4 linked regions of the Macaca fascicularis genome follow. The protein of the gene in region 1 interacts with the protein of each later gene in a biochemical or structural test. Links are inferred from orthologs where the notes say so. Each region holds a gene or a part of one and is shown on either strand. Other genes may lie near its edges. The genes, in order: RHOA, PKN2, CIT and SMURF1.

Region 1 (7,665 bases):
TGGGGTTTCGCCATGTTGGCCAGGCTGGTCTCAAACTCCTGGCTTCAGGCGATCTACCCTCCTCTGTCTCCCAAAGTTCTAGGAACAGGCGTGAGCCACCATGCCCGGCCTATTATTTTTTTTGAGATAGAGTCTCACTCTGATGCCCAGGCTGGAGTGCAGTGGCGTGATCTGGGCTCACTGCAACCTCTGCCTCCTGGGTTCAAGTGACTCTCATGCCTCAGCCTCCCGAGTAGCTGGGATTACAGGTGTACACCACCATGCCAGCTACTTTTTTCTATTTTTAGTAAATATGGGGTTTGCTATGTTGACCAGGCTGGTCTCAAACTCCTGACCTCAAGTGATCCGCCCATCTCGGCCTCCCAAAGTGCTGGGATTACAGGCATGAGCCAGGGGGCCTGGCCTCTTCTCCAAGACAGAAATCTGGGCAGTGGCAGCCTTTCTAACCTCTAGCCCTAACTCTTGGACCCCTTTATCTACTTGCCATGAAGTAGGCATTTATAAAGGCAAATTAGATCAGATCACAGTCTTGCTGAGTTAGTCTTTCAATGGCTCCCAGGGTCCAACTCTCATGTTCAAGCTCCAGCATCACAGTCTTACCTATTCTAATATGTCACCCTTATCCTTCCCTCTTAGCCTTGCTCTATCCATTCCCTTTGCCAGGTACATTTTGTCACCCTGTGGCCTTTGATCTCGGCTTAGGTGTCTTTCTTGGGAGATGCCTTCCCTGACCACCCCTGCCCCATGCACCCCTAATAAATCCCTGGCTCCCCATGAGCAGGGCCCGGGTTTTCTTTGTTCTCTGGGCCTCGTGTGGTCCCTATCATGTGATAGGGGCCCAGAGATTATCTGAATGAATGCCCTGATTAGTGAGTGCATGTTTTGCAGAAGAGGAGGCTGACCCTGATGAGGTCAATGTGCTAAGGACAGAGATTACTGCCTTTCCAACTGAGGGGATTGTGCGGAGTGGAATCCAACAAACATGTCATTTCATCTCTCTGAAATTATGACAATACCACCACCTGTCCTACAGGCTGCTGAACAACATGCTGATGGACTGTCCAGACCTTGATGTCATCCTAACTCAAAGCCTGAACTCTACGTGCAGACTTGAAGCTTGCTGCAAAGGCTATTAAGCTGGTGGGCTTATAGCCTGAGAACTCCCTTCTCTGTCACCAGCACAGGAGTGTCCTTGGAATGCCAAGCATGGGGTTGCGGTATGGACAGATTTACTCACCACGAAGGGAAATGCGTGGAGCCATCAGGCGTGGATCCATTCTGACCACCCAGACCTGGAGGCAAAAACACATCCAGAGCTGCAGCAGGCTGGGGTGGGGATCTGAGCAGGCATCAGCCCAGGTCAGGTTAGAGACCACTGGTATTGTTTGGTGAAGTCTAGTAAGGGTCCTAAGGGACTAATCGTATTGCCAGGTGAGAGTTCTGAGGAACAGATACAATGTGATGGGTGGACTGGTGGAGATTCTGGCGTAAAATGGTATGGTGGCATGAGTCAGGGTACAACGTTAAGTTCTCTCATCCAAGTACCCGGCTTAGCTTCGTGGTCAGATGCGTTCAGGGTGGTAAGGCCGTGAACCAATGTTAAGTTCTGATGAGCCTCTTGCAGGATAGTTGGGGAACCCAGTGATACAGTCGGGAGAGGGTGGGGGCGGGGGCGGCCAGCCCACGGAAGTTCGTAGGAAGCCTCACCTGGACGGTGATACAACCCGGTCACTGTATTCCCGTAGAACCCCCAGGCCAGCTGGATGCCCAGGAGACTTAACACCAACCACAGCAGCAACAGCTTGAAAAGGGTCACGCGCATGTCCTGCGCCTCCCACTCCCTCAAGAATTCGCTGCCCAGCGCGCCCAGCGCATCCAGTACCGTGGCCGGTAGAGCCTGCAAGGCCTGCCCAGACCAGGGCTCCGCCATGACTGGCCCTCGCCCCACCCGGGGTACTGTCACCGTAGTCCCTACCACGCACGCGTGTGATCTTCCGGTGCCAGGCCCGTTAGTGCGCACGCGTAAATCTAGGCAGGGCGGGGCCTACTTCGCTTGAGTGAAGTGTTGGCAGTTTGGGGAGGAGTATTAAAACCGCGCACGCGCACCTAGCCCCACCCTGCTTGCTTAAGGGATGAGTGACTCCGGGAGTACAAAATAGCAACCAGGTCTTTTATAGCCCCGGAGTTCCCGTGATGCCCCACGCGGCTGCAATGATTGGTTAAGGGTTTTGCTTTTAGGGCGTGGCCGCGCTCCTGAGCAATAGTGGATGAGCTGTGAGTGCGCGCGCGTGCGCGGGGCCGCGACCTAGGTCGGCTCGAGCCCGCTGGGCACTCGGGGGCGCGCACGTCGTTCTTCGCCCTCCCGCCGCCGCCCGCCCTCGCTCTCTCGCGCTCCCCTCCCGCCGCCCGCGGTCCTCCGTCGGTTCTCTCGTTAGTCCGCGGTCTGGTCTTCAGCTACCCGTCTTCGTCTCCGAGCTTGCGACTCGCGGACCGGCGTCCCCGGCGCGAAGAGGCTGGACTCGGATTCGTTGCCTGAGGTGAGCGGAAGGGTTCCCTCCAGGCGCCGCGGGGCCCCAGGCCCTCCCGCCCGCCCGGCAGTCTTCCGGCCGGCAGGCCGCCGCCCCGCAGCGGCCGCGCCCCACCGGCTGCTCGTGGCCGAGCCGCCCCTGGCCGAGCCGCCCCTGACCTTTGACCTGACTCCCGGCTCAGGCCCCGCGCCCCAAATCGGCGACCCCGCCCGCGCAGTCCCCGGAAGCGCGCCCCGTAGTCTCCAGTGCCCCTTCCCCCGCCCGGCCGGGCCTGGTGGAGCCCAAGCTGCCCGCCTGCCTGCCCTCGGTCCTCGGCGCTTCCTCTCCCGGCAGCGCCGGGCAGGGCGGGGGCTTTGGGCCGGGCCCCCGACCGCGCAGTGTGGCCGGCTGCTGAAAGCGCGCGTGGCTGTCGGAGTTGAAATGGGAAAGAAACTCTTTACAACTCCATTTTGCTTTTTACGTTTACCGAGAAACGTGAATCACTGTTTTATATTGATTAAAGCCCAGTTACACTTTGGGTAGGTTTTCTTTTAATGCAGATTTGTTGGAGACTGTGTAAGTAAAAGATTGTATTGGAAGCTTAGAGGTATGATCTACGGCCATACCACCCCGAACGCGCCCTAACTCGTATGAAAGCTTTGGGGTCTGTATTGAGTGGAAAAGGGGTATTTTCCAGTTGAAAAAAAAAACAAAACCACAAAACTGTAAATGATTTAGCGATGTTGCATGAAAACAGATGCAATATTGGTTAGTCTAAGTCGCTGTATTGATTAGGAATCACCTAAGCATCTGTACCTTAGTTACTGATTGGATCTACAGTTACAGATCGTCTTCATTGAATAGCGCTATTTGCATCCAAGTTGATTTGTTCACAAACCTTGTTTAGTAGTTTACGGTGGAAAACTGGAATCTTTTTTACCTCAAAGTTGGTTCCACTTGTGTTTTTTAATAGTTTTGATTTTAAATTTTTACCTCTGTTGACTTGTTTGGTTCTTTTTGTCTTGAAGGAAGTCTTTTAAAATAAACGCTTCTTGCAGGTTTGTAAGTAGATTATATTTCACTCTGCCTTCCTGAAGGAGAAAAACAGAAAAACTGAAAAACTTCCATAATTTAAAATGTGTGTGATGAGAATTTTTCAACCACTTAGTATCACCCAGATGTGTAGTGTGTATGTACCATGTGGATGATTGTCACCTTGAGATGTGGCTAAATAGGCGGAGATACTGTTTTGAGCGTTTGGCACAAGTGACATTGGACTGAAAAAAGACTAGTTTTTAATTGTAAAGGATGACTTATTGAAGGATCTCTGGATAACTTGTCTTAATTGGTTCCATCTAATTTTGTGGAGCACTGATGGCTCTTGGGGACATTAAATATATAAGGTGCACCTTGGTTTGAGTTAAAGTCTAATGCTAGATTTATTTTCTCTGTTGTAAAAATCTGCGTTGCAGGGAAGAAGAGAGTAGGAATAATGTATAGTTCTTGAATTTTAGATCTAAGAGGAATCTTTCAGGTGTGGTTGTCTAACCCCATTTGCAGATGAGCAAACTGAGTCCCAGAGACTTAAGTAAATTTCCCAGGATTATCTATCTAGTCAGGAGCAGACCAGAACTGTCTGCTCTGTTAAGGTATTCTCCATTTACTCCCAAACATTTGACCTCTAGAGTCAGCTAAAATTCAGGACTTCCAGCTTATTCCATTGTTTCTTCTTTTAAACCTTGTTGATGGTGAATAGTTTGGGAGAATCTGAAAAATTCATTTGCCAAAAAAAATTCAGTTCATTAGCTTACATAGCACTCTCCCCTTGTTAACTGGATGGTCCTGCCTTCAATTGAGGGAGCTAGATGAATGTACAAGGGTCCCTGGCTGACCTAATCATGGCTTTAAGTGTTCGGATTTTTTTTTTTTTTTAAAGGGTCCAACTTCTAGAGCAAGGCCTACACTTTTACTGCTTCAAAACCAAGATATTTAGGTCAGGCTAACATATTTTTAGGTAACTGTGGGCACTTTTGACTATTAATTTGGGGTACTGCATGTGTCAAGTAAACAATTCCCTGTGCACATGTATGTGGTGGTGGTGGTGGAGTATTTTTGTAGTCTTGATTTCTTTCCATTTGTCAGTTAACTCCTTTTTAAAAGTTTATTCTGGTCATATGGGGGTGTAAGTTATTAGGAGAGTTAAAAAGAGGTAGCTCTTCAAGTGTTTCTTGTCCATGGGGTGGAGCCCTGCAGTGACGGGAGAAGGTGCTAGTTTGCGTCTTCTTAATTAGAGCGCTGAGAGATTTATGTTAACTCTGAAAGACTGATAGTTCAGCTTCTAAGAGAGCTAATTTGAGCCTGCTGTAGACAGCACCTTGGGTTTAATTGCATTATGGTTACTAGTGATTATGATGAATAGTACATAGTCACTGGATTTTAAAATTGGCCATATACTTTTATTTTTATTTTTGAAATGGAGTCTCACTCTGTTGCCTAGGCTGGAGTGCAGTGGCGCGATCTCAGCTCACTGCATCGTCTGCCTCCTGGGTTCAAGTGATTCTCCTGCCCTAGCCCCTGGAGTAGCTGGGACTACGGGCACCAGCCACCGTTCCTTGTTAATTTTTGTATTTTTAGTAGAGACGGGGTTTCACCATGTTGGCCAGGCTGGTCTTGAACTCCTGACCTCAGGTGATCACCCACCTCGGCCTCCCAAAGTGCTGGGATTACAGGCGTGAGCCCACACGCCCACCCATATTTGTAGTTTTAAAAGGATCCTAAGTATTTTGTCCGACTCTACCATTGGATCTACAGTTACAGATCGTCTTCATTGAATAGCGCTATTTGCATCCAAGTTGATTTGTTCACAAACCTTGTTTAGTAGTTTACGGTGGAAAACTGGAATCTTTTTTACCTCAAAGTTGGTTCCACTTGTGTTTTTTAATAGTTTTGATTTTAAATTTTTACCTCTGTTGACTTGTTTGGTTCTTTTTGTCTTGAAGGAAGTCATTCGTTTATTCCTTTATTTACCTGTCCAATGTAACTGTTTGCTTGTAACTACACATTAATATAACTAAATTTTGAACTTGTTAATGTTACATGTCTTGCTATACTTGGGGCTCTTTGGGGACATGTCATTGTTAAGTATTTGTGGGATTAAAATTTCCAAGACATTTTGAAGTTGGTAATTACTATAAAATCCTTCATCTTTAATCTGTGGAGCTATAGTATTAAGTGAAGGCCTCGGTATGTTCATAATTACGGTAGTCATGTGACTGAAAATCAGGCACTGAAGCTGCTCATTCTGGGTGTTGGTCTCAGTTTATTGGTACTTCCGCCAAATACATTTTTATAGCTAATAATACTGAAAAACATCAAATACACTTGCTGAATTGCAATCAGTATGCAGTTTATGCCAAACTGAGCTTGATTTCATTTTTTAAGAGGATGAGTAAATATATAAGTGTGTGTGTGTGTGTACATATATATATATATATATATATTTTTTTTTTTTTTTTTTTTTTTGAGACGGAGTCTCGCTGTGTCTCCCAGGCTGGAGTGCAGTGGCGTGATCTCGGCTCACTGCAAGCTCCGCCTCCAGGGTTCACGCCATTCTCCGGCCTCAGCCTCCCAAGTAGCTGAGACTACAGGCGCCCGCCACCACGCCCGGCTAGTTTTTTGTATTTTTAGTAGAGACGGGGTTTCACCATGTTAGCCAGGATAGTCTCGATCTCCTGACCTCGTGATCCACCTGCCTCGGCCTCCCAAAGTGCTGGGATTACAAGGCTTGAGCCACCGCGCCCGGCCTATTTTTTTTTTTTTTTTTCTCTTTCGAGATGGAGTCTCACTGTATTGCCCAGGCTGGAGTGCAGTAGCGTGATCTTGGCTCACTGCAACCCCTGCTTCCCAGTTGAAGTGATTCTCACGCCTCAGTCTCTGGAGTAGTTGGGATTATCGGCATGCACCTCTATACTTGGCTAATTTTTGTATTTTTAGTAGAGACGGGGTTTCACCATGTTGGCCAGGCTGGTCTCGACCTCTTTTTTTTTTTTTTCTGAGATGGAGTCTCCCTCTGTCACCCAGGCTGGAGTGCAGTGGCCGGATCTCAGCTCACTGCAAGCTCCGCCTCCCAAGTTCACGCCATTCTCCTGCCTCAGCCTCCTGAGTAGCTGGGACTACAGGCGTCCCCCACCACGCCTGGCTAATTTTTTGTATTTTTAGTAGAGACGGGGTTTCACCGTGTTGACCAGGATGGTCTTGATCTGACCTCGTGATCCTCCTGCCTCGGCCTCCCAAAGTGCTGGGATTACAGGCGTGAGCCACCGCGCCCGGCCTGGAACTCTTGACCTCAGGTGATCTGCCCCCCTCTGAAATTGTTGAGATTACAGGTGAGAGCCACTACTACGCTTGGCCACATTTAAGCATATTTATGATAGTATCTTAAATTTAAGTGAAGGGAAAGAGGAAAACATACACAGCCAATGAAGTAAGTTCGAAGTGGAGTGAAAGGAAAAGTTGGAGGTAAAAAGAGGTTAGAGAGGTGGGCAGGGGCCAGATCATATAGGGCCTTTAGGACATGGGAAATTCTTTGGATTTGTTCTGAGATTAGAAGTCATTTAGATATTCTTTAGAAAGGGGATGACATGATCTGATATTTAAAAAAAAAAAAAAAAAAAAAAACTAGAATCACCGTGAGTAGGAGTAGATCTAATTCCATTCTGACCAAATAGTAAACTAATATGGTAATTGTACAAATATGAGAAAGGATTTCCTGGCCAGGAGCGGTGGCTCACGCCTGTAATCCCAGCACTTTGGGAGGCTGAGGCAAGTGGATCACTTGAGGTCAGGAGTTTGAGGCCAGCCTGGCCAACATGGTGAAACCCCATTTCTACTAAAAATAAAAAAAATTACCTGGGCGTGGCAGTAGGCGCCTATAATCCCAGCTATTCAGGAGGCTGAGACAGGAGAATCACCTTAACCTGGGAGGCGGAGGTTGCTGTGAGCTGAGATCGCGCCATTGCACTCCAGCCCGGGAGATGGTGCAAGACTCTGTCTCAAAAAAAGAAAAAAAAAAAGGAAAAGATTTCCTAATATTAATTTCCTTGACTTAATGACTTCAGCCTGTTTTATTTGAAGTCATCCCTCCCCTCCGCACCCCACC
Region 2 (7,825 bases), on another chromosome or scaffold:
TAAGTATTTCAAGTCACTTCTAGTTCTAAAATTACATGATGCTGAAATGTGAACATTTATATCTAAATTAATTTTTACAAAGACCGCTCATTGACTGTATTTCTAAGCCCTTGCACAGTTAACTTAGTTCCACCATTATTAATCACCTTCTATGTGTATGACAGCCATCTCAAATCCATTCTGCAGTAAGCTGTGACAAAAATAAATCTGTAGGCCGGGCACGGTGGCTCATGCCTGTAATCCCAGCACTTTGGGAGGCCGAAGCGGGCAGATCACGAGGTCAAGAGATCGATACCATCCTGACCAACATGGTGAAACCCCGTCTCTACTAAAAATACAAAAATTAGCCAGGCGTGGTGGCACGTGCCTGTGGTCCCAGCTACTCAGGAGGCTGGGGCAGGAGAATCACTTGAACCTGGGAGGCGGAGGTTGCAGTGAGCTGAGATGGCACCACTGCACTCCAGCCTCGTGGCATAGCGAGACTCCGTCTCAAAAATAAATAAATAAATCTGTGTGCATTCAATGCCCCTGAATTGTACACTTAAAATGGTTACAATAAATTTGATTATGCATTTTACCACAATAAAACATGCACACACACACACACACACACACACACACACACACACAAGCATGCAGTACTCCCCTAACACTTTGTATCTATTACTTAAAATTATTGTTGTTTAGATGTAAGTTGGCTTCCCCAAAGAATTCTCCAGTCACTCCAAGGATAAGGACCTCTTTTTTTTTTTTTTTGAGGCAGAGTCTCACTCCAACCTCTGCCTCCTAGATTCAAGCAATTCTCCTGCCTCAGCCTCCGGAGTAGCTGGGATTACAAGGCGCACGCCACCATGCCCAGCTAGTTTTTGTATTTTTAGTTGAGACAGAGTTTCACCATGTTGGCCAGGCTGGTCTCGAACTCCCGACCTCAGATTATCCGCCTGCCTTGGCCTCCCAAAGTCCTGGGATTATAGGCGTGAACCACCGCACCTGGCCGGATAAGAACTCTTAATCCTTGCTGTAACTCCAAAGCCTAGGACACCATCTGGCTTCTAGTTACCAGGAAAGGTAATCACATCCTGGCCTTTCCAAGTGTTCTTTCACGTAAATTTAATTATCACTTTCAACCAAGGCAATATATTAGATATATAAATAGTTGTAAGACTTGTGAAGTACACACCAGAAAAATTCTTTATCACACACATATGAGTTAGAATTCAGAAACTGTGGCCACAGAACTCCAGATCTTCAATAGATGTTTGCTGAATTGATATATGAGACTTGAGAAGGCAAAAGGATAAACGTAAGTCCTAGCATCAGCCCAACAGATTTACACGGAGCGTGTGACAAGTACGTAATATTACGCTTCCTAAGAATTATGTCAACGAATGTCCTTCCTAAGTAGCAACCTACCTAAATAACCCTTACCACTTTCTCCAGGTAGTTTTTAACAAAGGAATTGCACCGCAGCTTCAAAAAATTGAAAGTTACGTGTTTACCTATCCATTCACTGCTCAGACAAAACAAAAACAAAAGCTACCTGTGGGAGACTTCTAAATTCCTTAATACTACAGTGTCATTAAAAACAAACACCTAGATTTACTCTACTTAGCTATATGTTACTAAGTAGTCAGGTTAGCTTTAATGCTTACCACGACAAGGAGAGTTGGCTTTTTTCCTTTCCCGAGGGTAATCCCGTCCCACCTCCTCCCTCTTTAAATAAAGTTAAAACAATCCAAAAAACCAGCTAATTCTCAGCTCTAGAGTTCTCCAGCACAAGAAACAGTAGTTCAGCTTCAAGAAAAAGGCATCTTAAAGGCTGTGCATTAAAAGTTGCCAGGGATCCAGCCGCTTACATTTCATGAAAAGTACAGACCAGACCCGTTTAGCAAGCTGCGCACCTTAACTGGTCCAGAAGGCGCGCTGTGGGCTGGGGAAGAGGGTGAGCAAAAGGCAAGATTATTAGTTTGGGTTGATGGGGATGGCCGGGCAAGGGAAGAACAGAGGAGTAATCTGTAAGATCTGAGTTCCGAAGCTTTTTGGGTTGTGGAGGTTACAAAAGTGCCTGTTAAAGTTAGGCCCAAGCTTCGGCAAGGTAGAACTGGGGGGAAAAAAAGAAAAAGAAAAAAAATAAAAAACCTAAAAAAACAACAGCGAGCAGGCTCCCGAGTTCTAGTGTTCACAGTGAGGCCGTTAACGCAGCAGGAAAGTAGGCGTGTGTTTTCTTCCTCTTCCCGCCTCCCCAGAGACTCCAGCCCAGTCCTTTCCCCTCATTTTCACCCCAGCCGAGTCCAATGGCTGCCCTCGCGCGGAGTCGGGTCGGAAGCCGCCCCGCCCTCTCGCCTTGCTAGCCCTGGGGAACCCCTCTGCCCCACCTTCCCAGCCCGATGAGAGGCAGTGACTGCCGCCGTCACGTGTGCTGGCAGCCGCCAAGTGAGGCCGCTTTTGCGACGCGGTGACAGCCAAATGGTGCGACAGGAGGAGCTACAGCCGCGGCCGCAGCGCCCCGCACGGAGAGACTTGAGGCGGCTCCTGGCGTCGCCCAGAGGGAGCGACTAGGCGAACAGTCCGGTGCGGGCGGCGGCGGCGGCGGGCGGGCGGCGAGAGGAAGCCCGCTACGAGTGCCCTCGCACCCCCGCCGCTCTCGATGAACCGGACGGAATAAGCCGCGCCTCCAGCAGGGGCTGCGCCTCCATGAATCCCTAGTTTTTGTGTTTTTTTTTTTTCTTCTCTCCCCGTTCCTCACCCCCCACCCTGAGCCCCGTCCCGCCTTCTCCCTTTGCCAGCGGCGGCCGCCTCCAGGTGCGGAGTCCATACCGGAGCGCAATGGCGTCCAACCCCGAACGGGGGGAGATTATGCTCACGGAACTGCAGGTAAGGGCCGCGGCCCTGGCGAGAGTCGCTGGCTGAGTAGACAGGGAAAGAGCCCCGCGCGGCGTCGGGGACCAAGGAAAGCCCTGCGGCCGCCGCGCCCCTAGCCCGCTAAGTGCGGAAAGTCCGGGATGTCACTCGGGAACTGCTTCCCTCGGGGAACCGCTTCCCTCGGGAGCCAGACCCTCTCCCCCGCCAAAGCCCTGGCCTGCCACCGCTTTGCTTTGATTCTGCCTACCAGAGGGAACCCCATCTCTGCAGCCCTGCTGCAGCTGGAGCCTGCTCTCGCCCGGTCCCTGGAGAGGCCGGCCCGTCGCCCCCTCCCGCGGTGTCAGAGCTGCCCGCGAACGCCCCTGTCGCCCCCTCCCTTCGCGCGGCTGGGCCCCGCCCCGCCTTTCCTCCGTACTCGGCTCCTTAAACTCTTTTGAATGACTCCCAAGCTGTTTTCTTGTCCCTCCCCCTCCCCTCAGACTCCGCACAAAGAGCGCCCCCATAACTTCCAGCCCCTAGACAAGTTTTTTTTAAAAAAACGAGTCTCACCAAATGCTTGCTTCACTTCGCCAGCCCTCTTCAGGTGGCAGAATTTCTTTCCTCTATTTTGAGAGTTATCTTTTTCTTTTCCTTTTTTTTTTTTTTTTTTTTAAACTAAGTGATAGATACACGGTGCCTTTCTCGGCTACCCCTGCCCAGATCCGGAAGCTCAGATGCTGATGCTTTTCAGACTTTCATTTTCCCTCTCATTTGAGCACCAGAGAAAGAGCTATATAAGTTGTTTACTAATGAGAAAGGGAAAACTTGGGCACCACATGTCTGCAAAAGATAAGAGCAAAATAGATCGCTTAGTTAAGTCCATGTCGAGTAGCAGTATTATTATTTTCCCATTTCCAGCTAAATATTTGATGATGTAGGCACGATTTTCGTTTTTAGATCTCTATGGTGTACATGGGGACTTAAGCTACCCTGTCGGGTTTTTCATTACTTGGCAGTGTTCCAGAAGTGTTTACATCTGAATTTTAACAAAGATGTTAAAATTTCATGTTTTTTTGACTTAAAAGTTATTTTGCTTTATTTTAATATAGTTATCTTTTAGCTACTCGAAGATTGTAGATGGGAATTAGGGAAAAAAATAGCATGCTTGCATGTCTTTTTGTGTGTTGGACAGTTAATTTTTTTAAAGAAAGACTAAATCTAGAAATTCTGAAACAGTTGATTCTTGATGTCAAAATTAAGTATTGCAACTGCATCTAAATTTCTTGTTTAAATACACTTTTTAAGAAATCTCTTTATAAGTTTGGTTTCTTGTGCAGTCAGACGTAAGGTTGAAAACGTTGGTATAATAGTTGATATTCCTCCACAAAAATAGAGATTGTAACAATGTATACCAATGCAGTGTTGCACATTTAGAATCCTTTGGTAATGCAAAGCTGAATTTCATATCATTGAAAATGTTGCTATGTAATATTTTAATTACAGTTAGCCTTTTATAAGCAGATCGTACAGCATACCACATTTGCTAAATGAATGTAATTTACTATTTTATTAATAGTAAATAATTTGCATCAGCTTTTAAAATGGAGATGATGTGAGGCAAGTGAGAAATACTTTACATTACCTGGTCTTGAACCATGAAAAACATACTTTGGTTTTGATTGAGAAGGATGATAGGGTCAGTTTTCTTTTGAATTGAGCAGTGTTCGAGTTATAATATATTTGGCATTGTTACTTGTATTTTATAGAAAATTGGCATAAAAGACACCTACTTTGGCACTGGAACTGAAAATTATATTTTCATGTGTATTAAAATACAACATTTAGGATCTTTTAATTAAAAAGATCAATTTTGGTAATAACAAGGAAGCAAGCAAAGAAGGAAGAAATTTTCAATATGATGACTTAGAAATATGACCAAAATAGAGGAACACCTAAAGTTAAGCTTCTAGATAAACTGAAATATAACCCCTTCCAGAAAAAAGAATAGTTTTTATTAAGTGTTACCTTATAGGTTGTCATATATCCAAGTCATTTTCTTGGTTTATTTGACTCCCAGTTTTGATAAAAGTTATTGCATTTAAACTTTATCGTGTTTATTAAAATTTTTGAGAATATTACTTACATCAACACTAAAGATAGTCATAAAGTTTGCTTCACCAAATATTTCCATCCGTTCAAACATTTTATTTCATTGGGTCCTGAAACTTAGTGTACAGTAACCAAGTATTTATTAAACTTTCGTTTCAAGAATCAGTTTTTTTAAAAGCTTCTAAATTGTTTGAACTTAGACTGAAATACTGTTTAATATGACATTCTTAATTCTTTTCTGCCATACAGATTTTAAGTATTTAAGAAATTCTGTAGCCAGTTTTAAGATGTATTTAATGGTTAAAACTGTTACTTTGCTATGTATCCTGTCTCAGGAATACTTGTTTTACTCTGAAAGTTACATATTACAACCTACCTTTAATGAAATTGATATTTATTTAGAAATATATCCAGCTTTTCATTATTTTTTCAAATTGTAGAATTTGAAATACTCCACTGCTTGAGCTGGAATTAGCTTTTGGTCGTGGAAAGGCAAAGTAAGAAAATCTGAAACGACAGTATTCTGTCCTGTTAATTACTGTAATAGCATGGAGTAATGTTTTTAAGTATTGGTAGTAATTCAGGAGGCTTATTCAACAAGGAAGCGTTAATAAACTATGTAAACTTTGGTGGCTAGAGGTTTCAAGGTATAAGGAAGAATATTTACCGTAATAAAAATAAAAATTGGCTGTTTAAAATGGCCAATTTCTAATTTTTATCTCATAACTAATTTGTTGTGTTGTATTCTCTTTATTTTTTATTTGAAGTATAGCAGAAAACTTAGACATTTTTGCAATGCCAAAGAAGCTAAAGTTTATTTTCAAGGAACCTGGATTAATGAAAACTGTAAAGAATCTCAAAATGAAAGTGTTGGCTACAATGGTAATTTTGTAGAATGCAGACCAAATATTGAGCAGTGTGCTAATAAAGCTATCTTGTTGATTATTGGAGATTCATTTTCTTCATCAAAATGCCCAATAAAGTGTTGGTCTGGGAATTTTAAATTCCATTCTCAGCAGATTTTATTTAGATAGAGGTAACTTGCTCAAGTGGAAAGTTGAGATAGTTACCCTTAAATTACGGGGGTTAATTTCACCAAACAGTTATGTAGTATCTACCAAAGCTATGTTGGAGGATATAAAGATGACAAGATAGGTTTTTGCTTTCCAGAAGAGAGTATAGATAATTGTACTAGAGGATAATTATAAGAGAGTACAAACAACATTTTAAAAATTATTTGCTACATATCAGACATTGTACTTAGTATCCTATACACCTCATTTGATCTTTACAGCGATCCAATAAGGTAGGTGTTATTTTCATGTTGTGGATCAGGAAACTTAAGTTCAAGAATATTAAGTAAATTGCTTATGGTTACATTGTGTGTCTGAGTTTGAACCCAGGTCTATATGTTTCCCATTACACTATTTCTTTTTTTTTTTTTTTGAGATGGAGTCTCGCACTGTCACCCAGGCTAGAGTGCAGTGGTGCGATCTCTGCTCACTGCAATCTCCGCCTCCTAGGTTCAAGCGATTCTCCTGCCTCAGCCTCCCGAGTAGCTGGGATTACAGGCACCTGCCACCACGCCTGGCTAATTTTTTGTATTTTTAGTAGAGACGGGGTTTCACTGTGTTGGCCAGGCTGGTCTTGAACTCCTGACCTCATGATCTGCCTGCCTCGGCCTCCCAGAGCGCTGGGATTACAGGTGTGAGCCCCTGTGCCCGGCCCTGCTGTACCATTCTTTAAATTGCCACAGTTCTGGGGAACTATAAATATTTTGCATCTAATGTTATAGTGGTGTGAACTTTCTACAGATTGGCCAAAAATGTAATTTACCAACATTAACTTAACTTGTTAGCTCCATCTGTAACAAGGAAAAATGATTTCTACATTCAACTTGGTAGTCTATAATGTAGCAGTGTTTTATTATTGTAAATACGCTCTAATATTTCACAAAGAATCATAGTACAAATAATCTTTTTACAGGATTTCTTCATTAAGAATTACTGTTTCTCATGAAAGGTGTCACATGCTTGCCCAAAACTTCCCAAAAGATTTGACATTACTCTGTAGACTGTCTGTGCTTTGCTTTAAAATTTTATACTCATATGTAACCTAGCTCTGTGTTTGACACTTAGTAGGAGCACAATACATTGATGAGAAGGCTCCATTTGTCACCTAGGATGAGGGATGTCTAGATTATTTTAAGAGAAGTTCATTATAATCTTTGACATATGAAATTACGTAGTTTTCTTAAATTTACGTTTCTAATCCCTTTTCCCAAAAATATTCCCTTTAAAAGTACTAAACGGATTTCTATAATAGTTACATCGTTCTTCCATATAGCACACTGGTAGTTTACTCATTTAATGGAAAATTAGAAGGTGGTGTCTAATTTTGCAGTGACACTGGAAAGTGGAAGGTCTGAGTTGGGAGGATTACAATTTTAGGGTGGTTTGGGGGATGTTAGTATGAGAAGGTAAGCTGGGTAGTTAAGACAGACTTTACATTGTTTTCAAATTAGAAATGTAATGTACATGTATTACAGAAAATCCAGAAAATGTGGAAAAGCACAAAAGAAAATAAAAGTTGCTCATAGTTCTGTCACTTAAAGACTGACAGACTTTTCCCACCTAAAAGTCCCATGGCCGTAGAGTCCATTTTTTCTTTTTTTTCATCTCATTTTACTTACTAGAATTTTGAAGAAAAATGAAGCTCAGAGAGTTTTAAGATAGAAATCACAGTAGTTTAAAAAAATTTTTCTTGCCTCTGGTTCTAGATAAGTGGATCTAATTAGCTTTTTTTTTTTTTTTTTTTTTTACTTTTTAAATCTCAGAATATTTCAATTATGAGTCACTGCTTTATTAAGAAAAAA
Region 3 (7,221 bases), on another chromosome or scaffold:
CCGTAATTCTAGCACTTTCGGAGGCTAAAGCAGGTGGATCACTTGAAGTCAGGAGTTTGAGACCAGCCTGGCCAACATGGCAAAACCCCATCTCTACTAAAAATAAAAAAACTAGCTGAGTGTGGTGGTGCACCCCTGTAGTCCCAGCTACTCAGGAGGCTGAGGCAGGAGAACCACTTGAACCCGGGATGTGGAGATTGCAGTGAGCTGAGATTGTGCCACTGTACTCCAGCCTGGGCAACAGAGCAAGACTCCAAAAAAAGGATATACATTATTCTTGTTTTGCAGATGAGAAAACTGAGAACAAAGTACATGTAAAATACCGAAGGGCACTATAGTGAACATATGCTGATTCTTTTCTACTCAGCATCCCCGGCTCCTTTGCATAACCACGCATCCCCCATCCCATGAGGTGCTGGTAATCACACTGCCCTGACCCCTTTGGGCACTCCAACAAAACCGATCACAATACTTCACCTCCAGGGAGGCAAATGACCCAAAGCAGAGCCAAGTTAGAATCTTCCCTGGGATTGTATTAACCTAGATAAGGGAAGATAACCATTGGGCAGGGTGTGGTAGCCAGTCTCCAAAAATAGCACCCAATACCCCAGTCCTCTTGGGATTCATGCCCTTGTGTAGTTTCCTCTCAGGTGGAATTTGAGCAGCCCCAGAGCATGCATCAAACAATAGAATGCAGCCAAAGAGATCCTATGTTCCTCCTAGGATAACCCCTAAGAAAGCCTGGCAGCTTCCACTTTTGTGTTTTGGAAACCCTGAGCTACCATCGAGGCTGTCCTACTAGAAAGACCATGTAGCTCAGAGGTCAGCAAGCCTTTTCGAAATGAGCCAAACAGGAATTATTTTGGGCTTTGTAGGCCATTTGATCTCTATCACAACTACTCAAATGCTGTTGTGGGCTGGGCACAGTGGCTCATGCCTGTAATCCAAGCATTTTGGGAGGCCAAGGTGGGAGGATTTCTTGAGGCCAGGAGTTCAAGACCAGCCTAGGCAATCTCGCAAGATCCCATCGCTGCATAAAATTTAAAAATTAGCCGTTAACGGTGGCATGGGCCTGTAGTTCTAGCTACTGAGGAGGCTGAGACAGGAGGATTGCCTGAGCCCAGGAGTTGGAGGCTGCAGTGAGCTATGACTGTGCTGCTGCACTCCAGCCAGAGTGAGACTTTGTCTCCAAAACAATAAATAAAATGAAATAAAATGCTGTTATAATGTGAAAGCAGCCATAGGCACTGTACAAACACATGGGTGTGGCTGTTCCAGTAAAACTTTGTTTACAAAATAGGCATCACAGGCTGTAGTTCCTTGACTTCTGATGTAGAGACCACATAGAGGTGCCATGTAGACAGCAAAAGGCCCTGAGACTTCATGAAGAGAGACAGGCCCAGCTGGGCCCAGTCTCCCAGCCAGGGCACCAAACAGTGAGTAAGCCCTCTCACACATTCCAGCCCAGGAGAGTCCCAGGTGACGGCAATCCTGGCCAATGTAATACAGAGCAGAGGAATTCCCAGCTGAGTCCAATCAACCTACACACACGAGAGGTAATACAATAACTTATTTTTTTAAGACAGAGTCTCACTCATTGCCCAGGCTGGAGTGCGATGGTGAGATCTTGGCTCACTGCAACCTCCACCTCCCAGATTCAAATGATTCTCCTGCCTCAGCCTCCCAAGTAGCTGGGATTACAGGCGCCCACCACCACGCTCAGTTAATTCTTGTATTTTTAGTAGAGATAAGGTTTCACCATGTTGGCTAGGCTGGTCTTAAACTCCTGACCTCACGTGATCCATCGCCTCAGTCTCCCAAAGTGCTGGGACTACAGGCATGAGCCACCGTGCCCAGCCACAATGACTATTGTTTTAAGTCACTAATATTTAGGGTGGTTGATTGCACAGCAGTGTTGTACAAGGTGGGGTTTCTCAAATTCAGCACTACTGGCATTGTGGGCTACATACTTCTGTGTTACAGGGGCTGCTTTGTGCACTGTAAGGTGTTTGGCAGCATCTCTGGCCTCACCCATTAACTGACAGTAGGACCCTCCCCTCAACCTCACACACCACCATCCCCAGCCAGCTCTGACAACCGAAAACATCTAGGGGGCAAAGTCACCCACTGGTTGAAAAACACTAATGTGAGAGTATGAAACTGGGACACCACCAGTCAACTGCCCCATCACATGGAAGTCAAGCAAAGTCAGAAACAGGGTGAAGGCAAGGCCGATATATGACTTCATAGGCCCTAGGTACTTTTGCCTTCCTCAGCCCCTTCCTCCATTAAAAACAAAAAAGAATTCGAAAATTATGTTTCATGGGGCCAGTCATGGTGGCTCAACGCCTGTAATCCCAAAGCTTTGGGAGGCTGAGGCAGGAAGACTGCTTAAAGCCTGGAGTTTGAGACCAGCCTGGGTAACATAGTAAGACCCTATCTCTACAGAAAAAAGCAAAAATTAGCTGGGCATGGTAGTGTGAGCCTGTAGTCCCAGCCACCGAGGTAGAAGGATTGCTTGAGCCTAGAAGGTTGAAACTGCAATAAGCTGTGATATACCACTGCACTCCAGTCTGGGTAATAGAGCAAGACCTTGTCTCCAAAAAAAACAAAAATTTTATTCTATGACTACATTGGTATAAAGATGAATGTAATCCAGAATCATTATACATTATTACATTCATTTTTCCTGTAATTTTAAAACAAATTAAAATTTAATTCAGTTAATTAAAACTAATTAAATTCATTAAAATTAAATATCACAGGTCCTAAGCACCATGCCTACATTGCCTAATAGAAAGTCAGTCCTGAGTGAGTATAAGCATGAGGTCACAGGGTATTATTGAGGTTTCTGGAACCAGCTATGCCTAAAGTTAAAACTTAACTCATTCCTGGATTTCTGTTTCATAAGCCAATAAATTCACTCTTTTATTCACACAGGGTCTCACTCTGTCACCCAGACTAGAGTGCAATGGCACAATCATGGTTCATTGAGCCTTGACCTCTCGGGCTCCAGTGATCCTCCCACCTCAGCCTCCTGAGCAGCTGGGATCACAGGTGCAAGCCACCATACCCAGTTAATTTTTGTATTTTTTGTAGAGACAGGGTTTCACCATGTCGCCCAAGCTGGTCTTGAACTCCCGGGCTCAAGCGATTAGCCCACCTCAGCTTCCCAAAGGGCTGAGATTATAGGTATGAGCCACTGCACCTGTCCTAAATTCAGTCTTTGAATTGAGTTTGTCACTTGCAACCAAGTAGCCCAACTTACCTGGTCTCCCAGCTATAAGAGGTGCAGCCTGAACTTGAACCTGGATCTGTCTTATATAGAACCAGAGTTCTTACCCACTACTATCAACCAGTAACTCATTCTGCCTCAAGCATCTTTCTACTTTTCTCTCTCAGGACGGTTTTCAAGAAAAAGTTCCCCAAACTTACACTTCCGGACAAAGTTGCTCACATGCTTAATCTTCATCAGAGCAGGCTGACTGCATTCTTCAAAGAGAACAAAGAGGGCATCTAATATCCCTTCTCGGGAAAGAGGAGACATCTGCTGTTGAGTCATAAAGGGTGGTTTCCCCTAAAAACAGCAAACAGCAGATGGAGACACTGTCAATAATGAAAAGCTTTGATCAATAACATCCACACAGAGTAAATTACAAGCCACCAACTCAACTAACTGCTCACGACATGCTAACAGCACAATTCTGTGGCTTCATTCTTTAAAGCAGCGTCAACCGACAGTCATTATGGTATCACTTCCATGATTCCAGGACTGTGGGTTTCTTTCACCAGCACCTGGGAGGGAAAACTGCACAAGCATGGCCATTAACAAGAAAAGGTCCCTCACTCCTGAGGGTCTGAGGCTAGTGAGAATACTTCCTCTGGATCCTCTGGCTCTGACATGCTTCCATGTTTCTACAATAGGAAACATGGGTTTTTCACTTCTTTCACGTGTGCCCAGGGGTTTATTCATATAATTTCAGCTTTTTTAATTCATTTGAACAACCTAGAGTAATGAGAACTGAGTGACTATCATAAAGCCAAATTTACTCATGATCTGGAGAAATAGTTACAAACTGGCAGACTGTCTCTAGCCCACAGATATGTTTTGTTTGGCCTGTAGTGTTTAAGATAATTTGAATTATCTGCCAATATTTCAAAATCAGGAGATTCCATACAAAAAAATAAAAATGGAGTCTCTGGCTTCTCTTGAAACACTGGCAGATCCGGCAACACTGCCTCGTCTTCCTGCCTCGCCTTCCTGCCTGATGACGCTGAGCTGGAGCTGAGTAATGCTGCCCCTCCCGGTAGCAGATGTGTTCCGGAGTTCACTGCAGGTCTGACTCCATCTTCCAACTGGCCCACCTAACTCATTTATACTCACTGCCCGGCCCCCAAAGACATGAGTCTGCGACCCTGGTGTAGAGCAGTGAGTCCCACGTGCCAAGCCATGAATAGTGTGGTCTCGCTGCAAAGATGGCCTCCAACAGTTCCTCCAATTCAGTAGACACATGCTATTCCTTCCTTTAAGCGCTGGAGTCTATTTCTCCTATCTTTGAATCTGTGCCATCTCTGAGACTCTCTTCAACCAAAAGAATGTGACACAAGAGATACTGTGCCAGTTCAGGGCAGTGCCTTTAAGAAGCTTGTCAAGCGGCCAGGCATGGTGGCTCATGTCTGTCATCCCAGCACTTTGGGAGGCCAAGGCAGGTGGATCACTTGAGGTCAGGAGTTTGAGACTACCCTGGCTAACATGGTGAAACCCTGTCTCTACTAAAATACAAAAATTAGCCGGTCATGGTGGTGGGTGCCTGTAATCCCAACCACTTGGGAGGCTGAGGCATGAGAATTGCTTGAACCCTGGAGTCGGAGGTTGCAGTGAGCCAAGATCACACCACTGCACTCCAGCCTGGGCAACAAAGAAAGACTCCCTCTCAAAAAAAAAGCAGCTTACCAGTTTCCACTTTTGGGAAGCCAGCCACCATGCAAAGATGCTTGGGCTAGACCAGGGGTGTACAATCTATAGCCCTTGGACCAAATCCAGCCCACGGACTTTTTATAAGTTTTACCGTAACACAGCCACATCCATCATTTACATATTGTTTTTAACTGCTTTTGTGCTACCATGGCCAAGTTGAGTGGTTGCAACAGAGACTACAGGACCCACAAAGCCTAAAATCTTTATTACTTAAAAAAAAAGTTACAAGTCAGCCAGGAGCGGTGGCTCACGCCTGTAATCCCAGCATTTTGGGAGGCCAAGGCAGGCGGCTCACGAGGTCAGAAGTTGGAGACCCACATGACCAATGTGGTGAAACCCCATCTCTACTAAAAATGCAAAAATTGGCCGGGCGTGGAGGTGAGCGCCTGTAATCCCAGCTACTCAGGAGGCTGGAGCAGGAGAATCGCTTGAACCCAAGAGGCAGAGGTTGCAGTGAGCAGAGATCATGCCACTGCACTCCAGCCTGGGCAACGGGTCGAGACTCTGTCTTAAAAAAAAAAAAAAAGTTACAAGTCCTGGGCTACACTACTGAAAGACCTCATGGAGAAGAGAGGCCACGTAAGAAACACTAAGGTGCCCCAGCCAGCAGTCAGCACCCACATGTTCCAGTCCCAGACATAATCCCAGCTGAATGTAGCCCCACAAGTAACCCCAGCTGACATCACAGGATGAAGCAGAACCACCTAGCTGAGTCCAGCCAATCCACAGAATCCTAAGAAAAATAAATCATTGTTGCTTTAAAGGTCGTAAGTGCTTTGTTACACAGCTTGATAACAGAAACGGATTGCTGCATTTGAATCACAAGAGCACTGGAGAATTTAAGGAAAAAAAACAAACACACACATTATCTGGTCCTATGCCTCCCCTCCCCCACAACCTATTGAATTAGAATTTTCCAGACTGTAGCCTGGGATCTGTTTTATTAACAAGTTCCCCAGCAGGGCGAGGTGGCTCCCACCTGGAATCCTAGCACTTTGGGAGGCCAAGGTGGGAGGATCACTTGAGCCCAGGAGTTCAAGACCAGCCGGGGCAATACAGTGAGACCCCATCTCTGCAAACAAACAAAAAAAATTAGCCAGGTGTAGTGGCATGATCCTGTAGTCCTAGCCACTCGTGAGACTGAGGTAGGAGGATCACTGGAGCCCAAGAAGTCAAGGCTGTAGTGAGCCAAGATTGTGCTGCCACACTCCAGCCTGGGCAACGGAATGAGACCCTGGTCCCCAAGAGAGTCAGACCTCAGTCAGGTTTGGGAAGCACTGCATTCAAGGCCACCATATCTGTCACTTTAGTAATAGTTGCCACTAACTCAGGAAAATAAAACGCTTTGTTTCTTGTATTCTTCAAGAGTTTAGACCAACTAAAGCAGGGGTTCCCAAATGCAGTACTGGGTCTTAACAAATTTTTCAACAGCCTGCAGTGAAATGAGAAAAAATGAATGCCACATGATATCTTTTTTCATAAAACTAAATGTATTCAAATTTAAAAATGGTCCTTTATTCTGAGATGATGTTCTTCCTGTCTTGTTGTTTCTTAAAATGCCCTTTATGAAATAAAAGGGCAAGAAAATAATAGGTTTTTCTTTTTATTATTTTTTTTTTAAATATCCTTACTTGGCAAAATAAGAAAACCTGTGTCTACCCAGCAATTTGGGAAATTTTGCTGGCTCTAAAAGTCTGACAATCACTGACCTCGAACATGTTAGGAAATCCTGTTGAGTAGAAGTAAAAAAGACAAAATGACACTCAGTGTAAAGTACTCACCTGAATGGGAAACAAAATTGCTACTGTATCTCAATCTCATTCAAATAGCACTATATGGGAAAAGAACAAACAGCATCCTTACCTGATCACTCAAGGCAAATGACAGGTATATAATACACTTGCAATAATAGCTTTACTGGGTGGGGGGAACTCAGCATTAAAAAGAGATGAACTGAGGGTTTACCTATAATTCTTCCTGTTATAATGACAAAATACAAGACATACTTAATAAACTCTGACGTGCACAGACGGTATGGCCCAATGGCTATGTGGTCAGCCTTTGGAGTCGGACCAACCAAAGATGGAGTCTGATCTTGGCTCCATCTGCAAAGCTCAACGTGTATGATCTTGGGCAAGGCCTTGTCTACCTCCATATATGTCTATATCTGTTGCTTCCTATTTATGTATTTATTTAGAAACGGGGCCTCGTTCTGTCACCCAGGCTGGAGTGCAGTGTCACAA
Region 4 (7,221 bases), on another chromosome or scaffold:
GGGCCCTGGTTCCTGGGGGCCGTGTGGCCAGGAAGTGCCACAGCTGTGCCTCTGAAGTACATTAACTAGAATGTTGTCTTGTAAGGTTCTACAGGCGCGGCAGGGCCCCGGCTGTTCACTATCCACCTGATAGACGCGAACACAGACAACCTTCCGAAGGCCCATACCTGGTAAGCACTGCGGCCAGGAAGTCACGGCGTCCTGGGAGCCCCGGAGGATGCCGACGTTCACGTTCGTTTTGTTGTTTTTTCTTTTTTTTGGAGATGGAGTCTCTGCTAAAATATTTCTGTCATCATCAAAACTCAAAAGCCACAGCACCTGAGACACAAGGAGAAATTCGAGAGTTGAATGACAATTCTGAAGCCCTCAAGCAAGCGACTCTTCCTCCAACATGACAACGCTGTATAGAGTGGCTTTACTGGCCATGCAACAAAATATCTATAAGAGGGCCAACATTATTGCTAAACTTAACATAAAATCTTACAGTATATATAACCTAAAATTTAAATATAGATTTTTCTCTTGATTTAGTTTTTTATTTTTTTGAGACAGTCTTGCTTTGTCACCCAGGCTGGAGTGCAGTGGCACAATCTTGATTCACTGCAACCTCTGCCTCCTGGGTTCAAGCTATTCTCGTGCCTTGGCCTCCCGAGTAGCTGGGATTACAGGCATTCGCCAACACGCCCGGCTAATTTTTGTATTTTTAGTAGAGACGGGGTTTCGCCATGTTGGCCAGGCTAGTCTGGAACTCCTGGCCTCAGGTGATCTGCCCGCCTCGGCCTCCCAAAGTGCTGAGATTACAGGCATGAGCCGCCAAGCCCGGCCTCATGTTATTTTTTTAAAGCTGTTTTCTGATTTGTAGGACTCTGTTTCATTTATGCCAAGTCTCAATGACTGGCAGTAGTGCTTGTGTCAGATGGGACGAGTACTTTGCAGCATGCCACAGAAAGGTTGTCACAGTATCTTATGAAACTAATTTTGTTATGAGCCATGTCATTAATTAACATTGGTGTTTCAGTGGAGTGTGGCTACCACTCCAGCAGGCTCAAATCTTCCTCTCTGCCAGGTCTTATGTACACACACCTGTTGGTAAGGAAAATAGTCTAGTTTTGGTCTTCACTTTATCTGACATTTCTGGGTCCCCATCTTCTTAGACTCCTGCTTATGACACACGCACCTTGTCTATTGCAAATATTTTCTTCCTAAATTTTAACTTAAAAATGAGTCTCCATACTAGAGTATTTCCTGTATGGTTTAAAAATCCAGTCACTGGCACGCACTTTGTCCTGGAACCATCCGTTGAGACGAGTAGCCGCGTTTCCTTGGGGGAACCAGTTCTAGATGCTGTTGAGATGCCCAGTGAGATGATGGAAGGTTCCTGTCTTGGAAACCAAGGATGCGGGATCAAATGCTAGCTGTGACACCCTCTGACATGTGGTTTGGGGCAAGTGACTTCATATTCTAACTTGGTTTTCCGCACTTGTGAAATGGGGTAATGCAGTTGGTCCTGGACCGTGGTGGTGGGTGCCAGGGTCCTGCTCCGAGCGTGGCTGTGGCATCCGTTACGGGAACGCACCATGTTGGCTGCGCACCTACTCACAAGGCTTTTGTCCTTTAGCAGTTCAGTGCTTGGTGTTAGATGCATGTGGAAAGTATGCTCTGAAGCACAGAAAAAAGAGGGCCCACCCTGGAACCCAGCTCTGTAGAGACAGACACCTTCCGTAACTGCTTACCCTAGGAAGCCAGGAAGTCACTGTATGTCCTCTGGGTCACAATTTTGTACTTTTTGGTTTGCTATGGTAGCTTCTTAAAGGATGTCTTTTTCTTTGCACAAATACTGGAAACGAGTTTCCCCCTGGAAATACCGAGTCAAAAGTTGAGTATTCATTTCATCTTTTAAGGATTTGTCATCTTACTAGTTTTGAGATTTTGTTTTTGCAAGGAATTTTCCAGACTGCCCCGTTTTGGTCTCAGATCAAGTCCCAGAGGAACAGACAGACACGCAATACATCGTTAGTGGTGACGTTGCCTGACAGCCAGTCTGGGTTACACGGGCTGCCAAAGAGGCATTCCTAGCACAGAGAAAGAATTTCTCCCACAGACAGACAGACAAAAACAAGCGGAGAGCTTTGTCCTGATAGAAGCCGTGAACAGTAATTTGGTGATGTTTTGGTTGTCAAGGCTCAAGACTTACTTCACTGTGTGTTGATTGGGCACAGTGGCTTAGGCCTGTAGTCCCAGCATGTTGGGAGGCCAAGGCAAGAGGTTCACCTGAGGCCAGGAGTTTGAGAGCAGCCTGGGGAAACTAGCAAGACCCTGTCTCTACCAAAAAGCAAAAACAAATTACAAATCTTTGTATTAGAGGCAGAAAAGCACAGGGGGACATGGAGAACTCACCACCACTCCTGCCCCGCCCCGCATTCCTCTCCCCTCCCACACACACTTCTCGCTGCCTGTCCTTGGCCTTGAGGTTGGTCCCAGGGCTGGACTGCCCACCCAGTGACTCTCACTTTTTTGTCCTTTTTCAGCTTTAACCGGATCGACATTCCACCATATGAGTCCTATGAGAAGCTCTACGAGAAGCTGCTGACAGCCGTGGAGGAGACCTGCGGGTTTGCTGTGGAGTGAAAAGCAACCAAAGGCAACAGAGTCTAGCTCATGGCCACCAGACCAAAAGCATCCAGCTTCTGTGCGCCTCCTGCAAAGCTGGCAGAGGCCCTGGAATTCCGGATCACCTGAGGGGAAAGGGTTGTCTCTCTCCTTTCTGTTGGGGGAGGGGGATGGGGGACTTTTGTTGGTGGCTCCCACCCATATATCTCTCCTTTATTATAGTACTCCCACCCGCTTCCATCACCCATCCAATAAAATGCAGCCAGGGTTAGCCTTTGGCTTTGGTCACACAGGATATTCTGCTGTGGTTGCAACCCATGTGGTGATAAGGCTCATGGCCCTGAGCTCTTTACGGGAGCATCAGCCCACAGTTAGGGGACTGAGTGTGGCTGGCTGAGGGTTTGGAACTGCTGGCTATCCCCGCTGTTCCATCTCAAATAGCCTTGGGGCCCCTTTTCAATTTGAGCAGCTGCTAGATATCTTACCAGAGCTCAGATTCCAGATTTCACATCCCAGCAGCCTGTTCTGGGCAGCAGATGAATTTCCAACTGAAAAATAACTGCATAACGTATGCTTATTGGAATTCTGCCACAGCAGGAAGCTTGAGTCAAAATGCGTTGCCCCTTTGAAAGGAGAAGGAATTGGAGCAGCTTTTCCTGGAGCCAGGATATTTCTTTGCTGGGTGTCTTGGCTGAGAATATTTTACGTAGAGAAAAACCATCTTTTAAGGGCCCCTTTTGCTGCATTATCTGTCCAGTTTGACTTTTCTTTTCAGTGAAAACACCATGTCACGGAGTGTAGAAAAGAGCAGACCAAAATCAGCCCTAGAGCCAACCAGTCAGTCCCAAAGCTGTGACCTCTGTGCCACTGTTGTCCATAGAAGAGCATCAACTGTGTCACTTAAAATATTAGTAAACCATGATGCGGCAACTGCTAAGAGCTAAACTAACAAAATTGTGTTATCATAGCTGCTGGCTTGGTGCGAACTAGCTTAAAAGCAATGGTGAAAGGATAACCTCGATGATGTAAATCCACCCAAAGATACTGTTCTACAAAAAGTAGAGTGTGGACGCAAACCTGTGACCGCAGAGGGGGACAGCTCCACACTGCCTCGTGTGGCCCCTTTCCCAGTGGCAGCTGGTGACACTAACGATTGCTACTCGGTTCACTTGCCCAGATGTCTTCGTATGATCAGCAAGGCCAGAAGCAAGCCTAGACTCGAAGTTTCTGACACCATTTTCCAGTTTGCACAGAAGTCAAACAGTGTTTTATCTTAAAGTGGCTTGATTTCCAGTAGCTGAACTTGGGCAGAAAACAGCAGCAGCAACCAATGTTCCTGTATGGTTTCTTTGTTGTTTTTGTTTGGGGTGGGGGCAAGTACAGGGTAATCGATGAGCAAGACATTTCACTGCTGTCGAAGTCTCTGGGATCCCGCTGTGGGTCTGAGATGGCCTGGGAAGGACCTTGTGGACAACGGTTTTATCTGTTCTTTTTGTCACTGTTGACTTCTGGGCTGCTGAGGTTCTAGAATGGAAGGGCTGCCAAACGAGGTTTGCTGCAGGAGGAAAGTTTAATCCCCCATTCCAGAAGTCCAGGCCCAATGGTGGGCTTAGCCTCTTTGAAAAGCTCTGCCTTGCCCCCCCAGGTGGGTGCATCCTGTGTCTCATTCACCATGATGCTTCCTGAAGGTGTTCTAGAAGCCCGTTTCCCAGTGGCTCTATCCAGCCTTTCCTTGCATCTTCCTCTTGAAGGTGAGGAAGTGAAAACTACAGCCCTCCCCCGGAGAGCCCACTCTCTGTCACGAGCCTAACCCATGGGAGGCAGAAGAGACATCCATCCGAGAACTGAAGCGGCCTCCGGGATGAGGTCGGAGGCCCCACCTGATTGTCCTGGTGGTGGTATCCAAAATCTGCAGTAACTAGGAAGGAAACCAGGGTCTCATGGTTTAAAAGACTTTGAAGCAGGAATGTTGCATTTGACGCCTTTAAAACTACCTTTTTGCTGTTGGGAGGAGTCGGGGGCGAGCCTTAGCAGCTGCACCCGCCAGCCCCATGCTGGTCGGTGCTGCCCTGCCTCTCGTGCCGGGTGTTGCTTCAGCCCAGAGCCAGAGGGCTGGGTCCCGGGTCCTCCACAGGTGGCCCCGGCGGACACATGGCATTCCTGTCCCGGCCCCCGTCTCTGCTTTTCCACTTCCACCTGCGTGTGGGTTTGCCGCCTTGTCATCGGTCGTGTGAGTGTCGCAGACCTTTCCAGAGCTCCGGTTCACTCTTTCCAAACAGGCCTCCCTATCGGTGGCATCGCACTCCCAGAACCTTCAGTTTCTACGATGGTTTGTTTGGTCCTTTTGAACCACCCCAAAGAACTCAATATGGCAAGCAAATGGTAAAAGCTTCCCGACTGTTGGACTTTGGGTCCGCACGAAGCCCATTCACGTGTGATCTGTGTCGCCCCTCTCGGTGGTCCCAGGCGATCCAGCCATGCCCCCTGCCCCTCTGCCCAGATGCTTCAGGGGCCCGGCTTTTCAGGCTTGCCCTCACCAGCGGCCGTCAGCCGACACTCAGGGATGTAGCAAACACCACTCTGCCAGTGCTTTTGGTAGGAAGAGCTGAGGCTGCCTGGGAGGCCCGGGGCGACAGGAAAAGGGCTCTCTCCAGTTCTGAAAAGAGAATCTGCCACCAGATCGAATTTCGACCCCTGAGCTTGTTCAGACATATGGTCCGAATTCAGATTAAGGTGGTCACCCAGTCCGAGATGTCAGGAAAGGCCTTCTGCAGAGAAAATGTCCCCCTACCCGCCATCTGCAGCCAGGTGTGTGCCGCACGGCAGCCTTCCCGAAACATAGTATGGATTTTAAAAATGTGTTTATTTTTGTTTCTCAACCACTTTATAATGTATTTTTTAATTTATTTTGTAATGTCTTGTTTTTAAGTATTGCTGCTATCCTTGTTATCCTTCCCACGGTTTTTATCGCTGATTTATTTTGTGAAAGTTGTACACTAATGTTCTGTTTTATGTCAAAATCAAAAGTATTTAATGAAATACTAGTTCTATTTAATGTGGTTATGGAACCAGCTGGAAACACAAAACAAACAGTGATTGTACAGCAGGCTGGGCCCAGGAGGTCAGGTTCATTTTGTTACATATGCAATAAACTCACGACTTTACATTTTTGGCGTCTGTTATTTTGGTGTGGAAATGAGATTCCAGTGTCTTTGCAAACCCACAAGAAAGGAAGTGTGTAGGCAGGAATACTGGCAAGGGCCTTCCAAGGGAAAAGGACAGAGTTAAGGATAGAATTGTAAGGGAAACTAATGACAATATGGCAGTGGGTTGAAAGTGCTCTACCAAGCAAAAACATGGGACTGAGAACATTTAGAATTTCTTTGCGCACTGGTTATCTTTTCGTTTTTCCCTTCATTTTTCTTTATTTTTATTTTTTTGAGATGGAGGCTTGCTCTTGTCACCCAGGCTAGAGTACAGTGGTGCAATCTCGGCTCACTGCAACCTCTGCCTCCCGGGTTCAAGTGATTCTCCTGCCTCAGCCTCCCGAGTAGCTGGGATTACAGGCGCGCACGACGCCCGGCTTATTTTGTATTTTTAGTAGAGGTGGGGTTTTTCCATGTTGGTCAGGCTGGTCTCAAACTCCCGACCTCAGGTGATCCGCCCGCCTCGGACTCCCAGAGTGCTGGGATTACAGGCATGAGCCACCGTGCCCAGCCTCTTTAACTTCTTTATACAGTATTTTGTTTTCAGCAGACAACTGGTAAGTCTTGCACCTGCTTGGTTAGCTTTATTCTTATGCTATTATAAACATAATTGCTTTCTTAAGTTCTTTTGTGGATATTCATTGCTAGTATATAGAAACATAACTGCATTGTTTGTCAATCTCGTACCCCAAAACTGCAAAAATTCGCTTCCTAGCTCTAGTGGCTTTCTTGTGAATTCTTTGCAATTTTCTCTCTGTAGGAGATAGCTTTACCTGTTCCTTCCAACTTGGATGCCTTTTATTTCTTATCTATTAGCTCTGGCTTATACTTTTCCAGTACAATGTTGAAAAACTGTGGTAAAAGTGGGAATATTTTTCTTGTTTCTGATCACAGAGGGAATGTTTATAGTAAACCGCCCTTCTGTGTCAGTTGAGATGTACATGATTTTTTCCCTCTTTTCTATTAATGTGATGTGTTACATTGATTTTCTTATGTTGGGCCACCCTTCCCTTCCTAGGATAAATTCCACTTGGTTTTGGTGAATAATCCTTTTAATATGGTCTTGGGGCCGGGCGTTGTGGCTCACGCCTGTAACTCCAGCACTTTGGGAAGCTGAGGTAGGTAGATCATGAGGTCAGGAGTTCGAGACCAGCCTGGTCAACACAGCGAAACCTTGTCTGTACTAAAAATACAAAAATTAGCCGGGTGTGGTGGCACACGCCTGTAGTCCCAGCTACTCAGGAGGCTGAGGCAGGAGAATTGCCTGAACCTGGGAGGTGGAGTTTGCAGTGTGCCGAGACTGCGGCATTGCACTCCAGCCTGGGTGACAGAGCAAGACTCCGTCTCCAAAAAAAAAAAAAAAAAAAAAAAAAAAGCTGTTGGATTCAATTTGCTAATATTTTGT

The links.
Region 2: the proteins of RHOA (region 1) and PKN2 form a complex in vitro, tested with the Homo sapiens proteins (2 studies listed by BioGRID, with this or other methods). The link is inferred for Macaca fascicularis from reciprocal best matches to the Homo sapiens genes RHOA and PKN2.
Region 3: the proteins of RHOA (region 1) and CIT form a complex in vitro, tested with the Homo sapiens proteins (2 studies listed by BioGRID, with this or other methods). The link is inferred for Macaca fascicularis from reciprocal best matches to the Homo sapiens genes RHOA and CIT.
Region 4: the proteins of RHOA (region 1) and SMURF1 form a complex in vitro, tested with the Homo sapiens proteins (2 studies listed by BioGRID and IntAct, with this or other methods). The link is inferred for Macaca fascicularis from reciprocal best matches to the Homo sapiens genes RHOA and SMURF1.

Annotation. Positions count from the first base shown.
Region 1 is NC_088376.1:112,408,864-112,416,528, reverse strand, and holds the start of RHOA (transforming protein RhoA), read left to right. Parts: upstream 1-2,340; 5' UTR 2,341-2,537; intron 2,538-2,874; exon of another isoform or gene 2,875-3,046; intron 3,047-7,665. Other genes in the region: TCTA (T-cell leukemia translocation-altered gene protein), read right to left, coding at 1,238-1,292, 1,708-1,930. UniProt on the Homo sapiens protein: Small GTPase which cycles between an active GTP-bound and an inactive GDP-bound state.
Region 2 is NC_088375.1:146,009,618-146,017,442, reverse strand, and holds the start of PKN2 (serine/threonine-protein kinase N2), read left to right. Parts: upstream 1-2,492; 5' UTR 2,493-2,826; coding exon 2,827-2,874; intron 2,875-7,825. UniProt on the Homo sapiens protein: PKC-related serine/threonine-protein kinase and Rho/Rac effector protein that participates in specific signal transduction responses in the cell.
Region 3 is NC_088385.1:126,865,145-126,872,365, forward strand, and holds part of CIT (citron Rho-interacting kinase), read right to left. Parts: intron 3,578-7,221; coding exon 3,436-3,577; intron 1-3,435. UniProt on the Homo sapiens protein: Plays a role in cytokinesis. Required for KIF14 localization to the central spindle and midbody. Putative RHO/RAC effector that binds to the GTP-bound forms of RHO and RAC1. It probably binds p21 with a tighter specificity in vivo.
Region 4 is NC_088377.1:47,599,929-47,607,149, reverse strand, and holds the end of SMURF1 (E3 ubiquitin-protein ligase SMURF1), read left to right. Parts: intron 1-85; coding exon 86-170; intron 171-2,528; coding exon 2,529-2,628; 3' UTR 2,629-5,776; downstream 5,777-7,221. UniProt on the Homo sapiens protein: E3 ubiquitin-protein ligase that acts as a negative regulator of BMP signaling pathway. Mediates ubiquitination and degradation of SMAD1 and SMAD5, 2 receptor-regulated SMADs specific for the BMP pathway.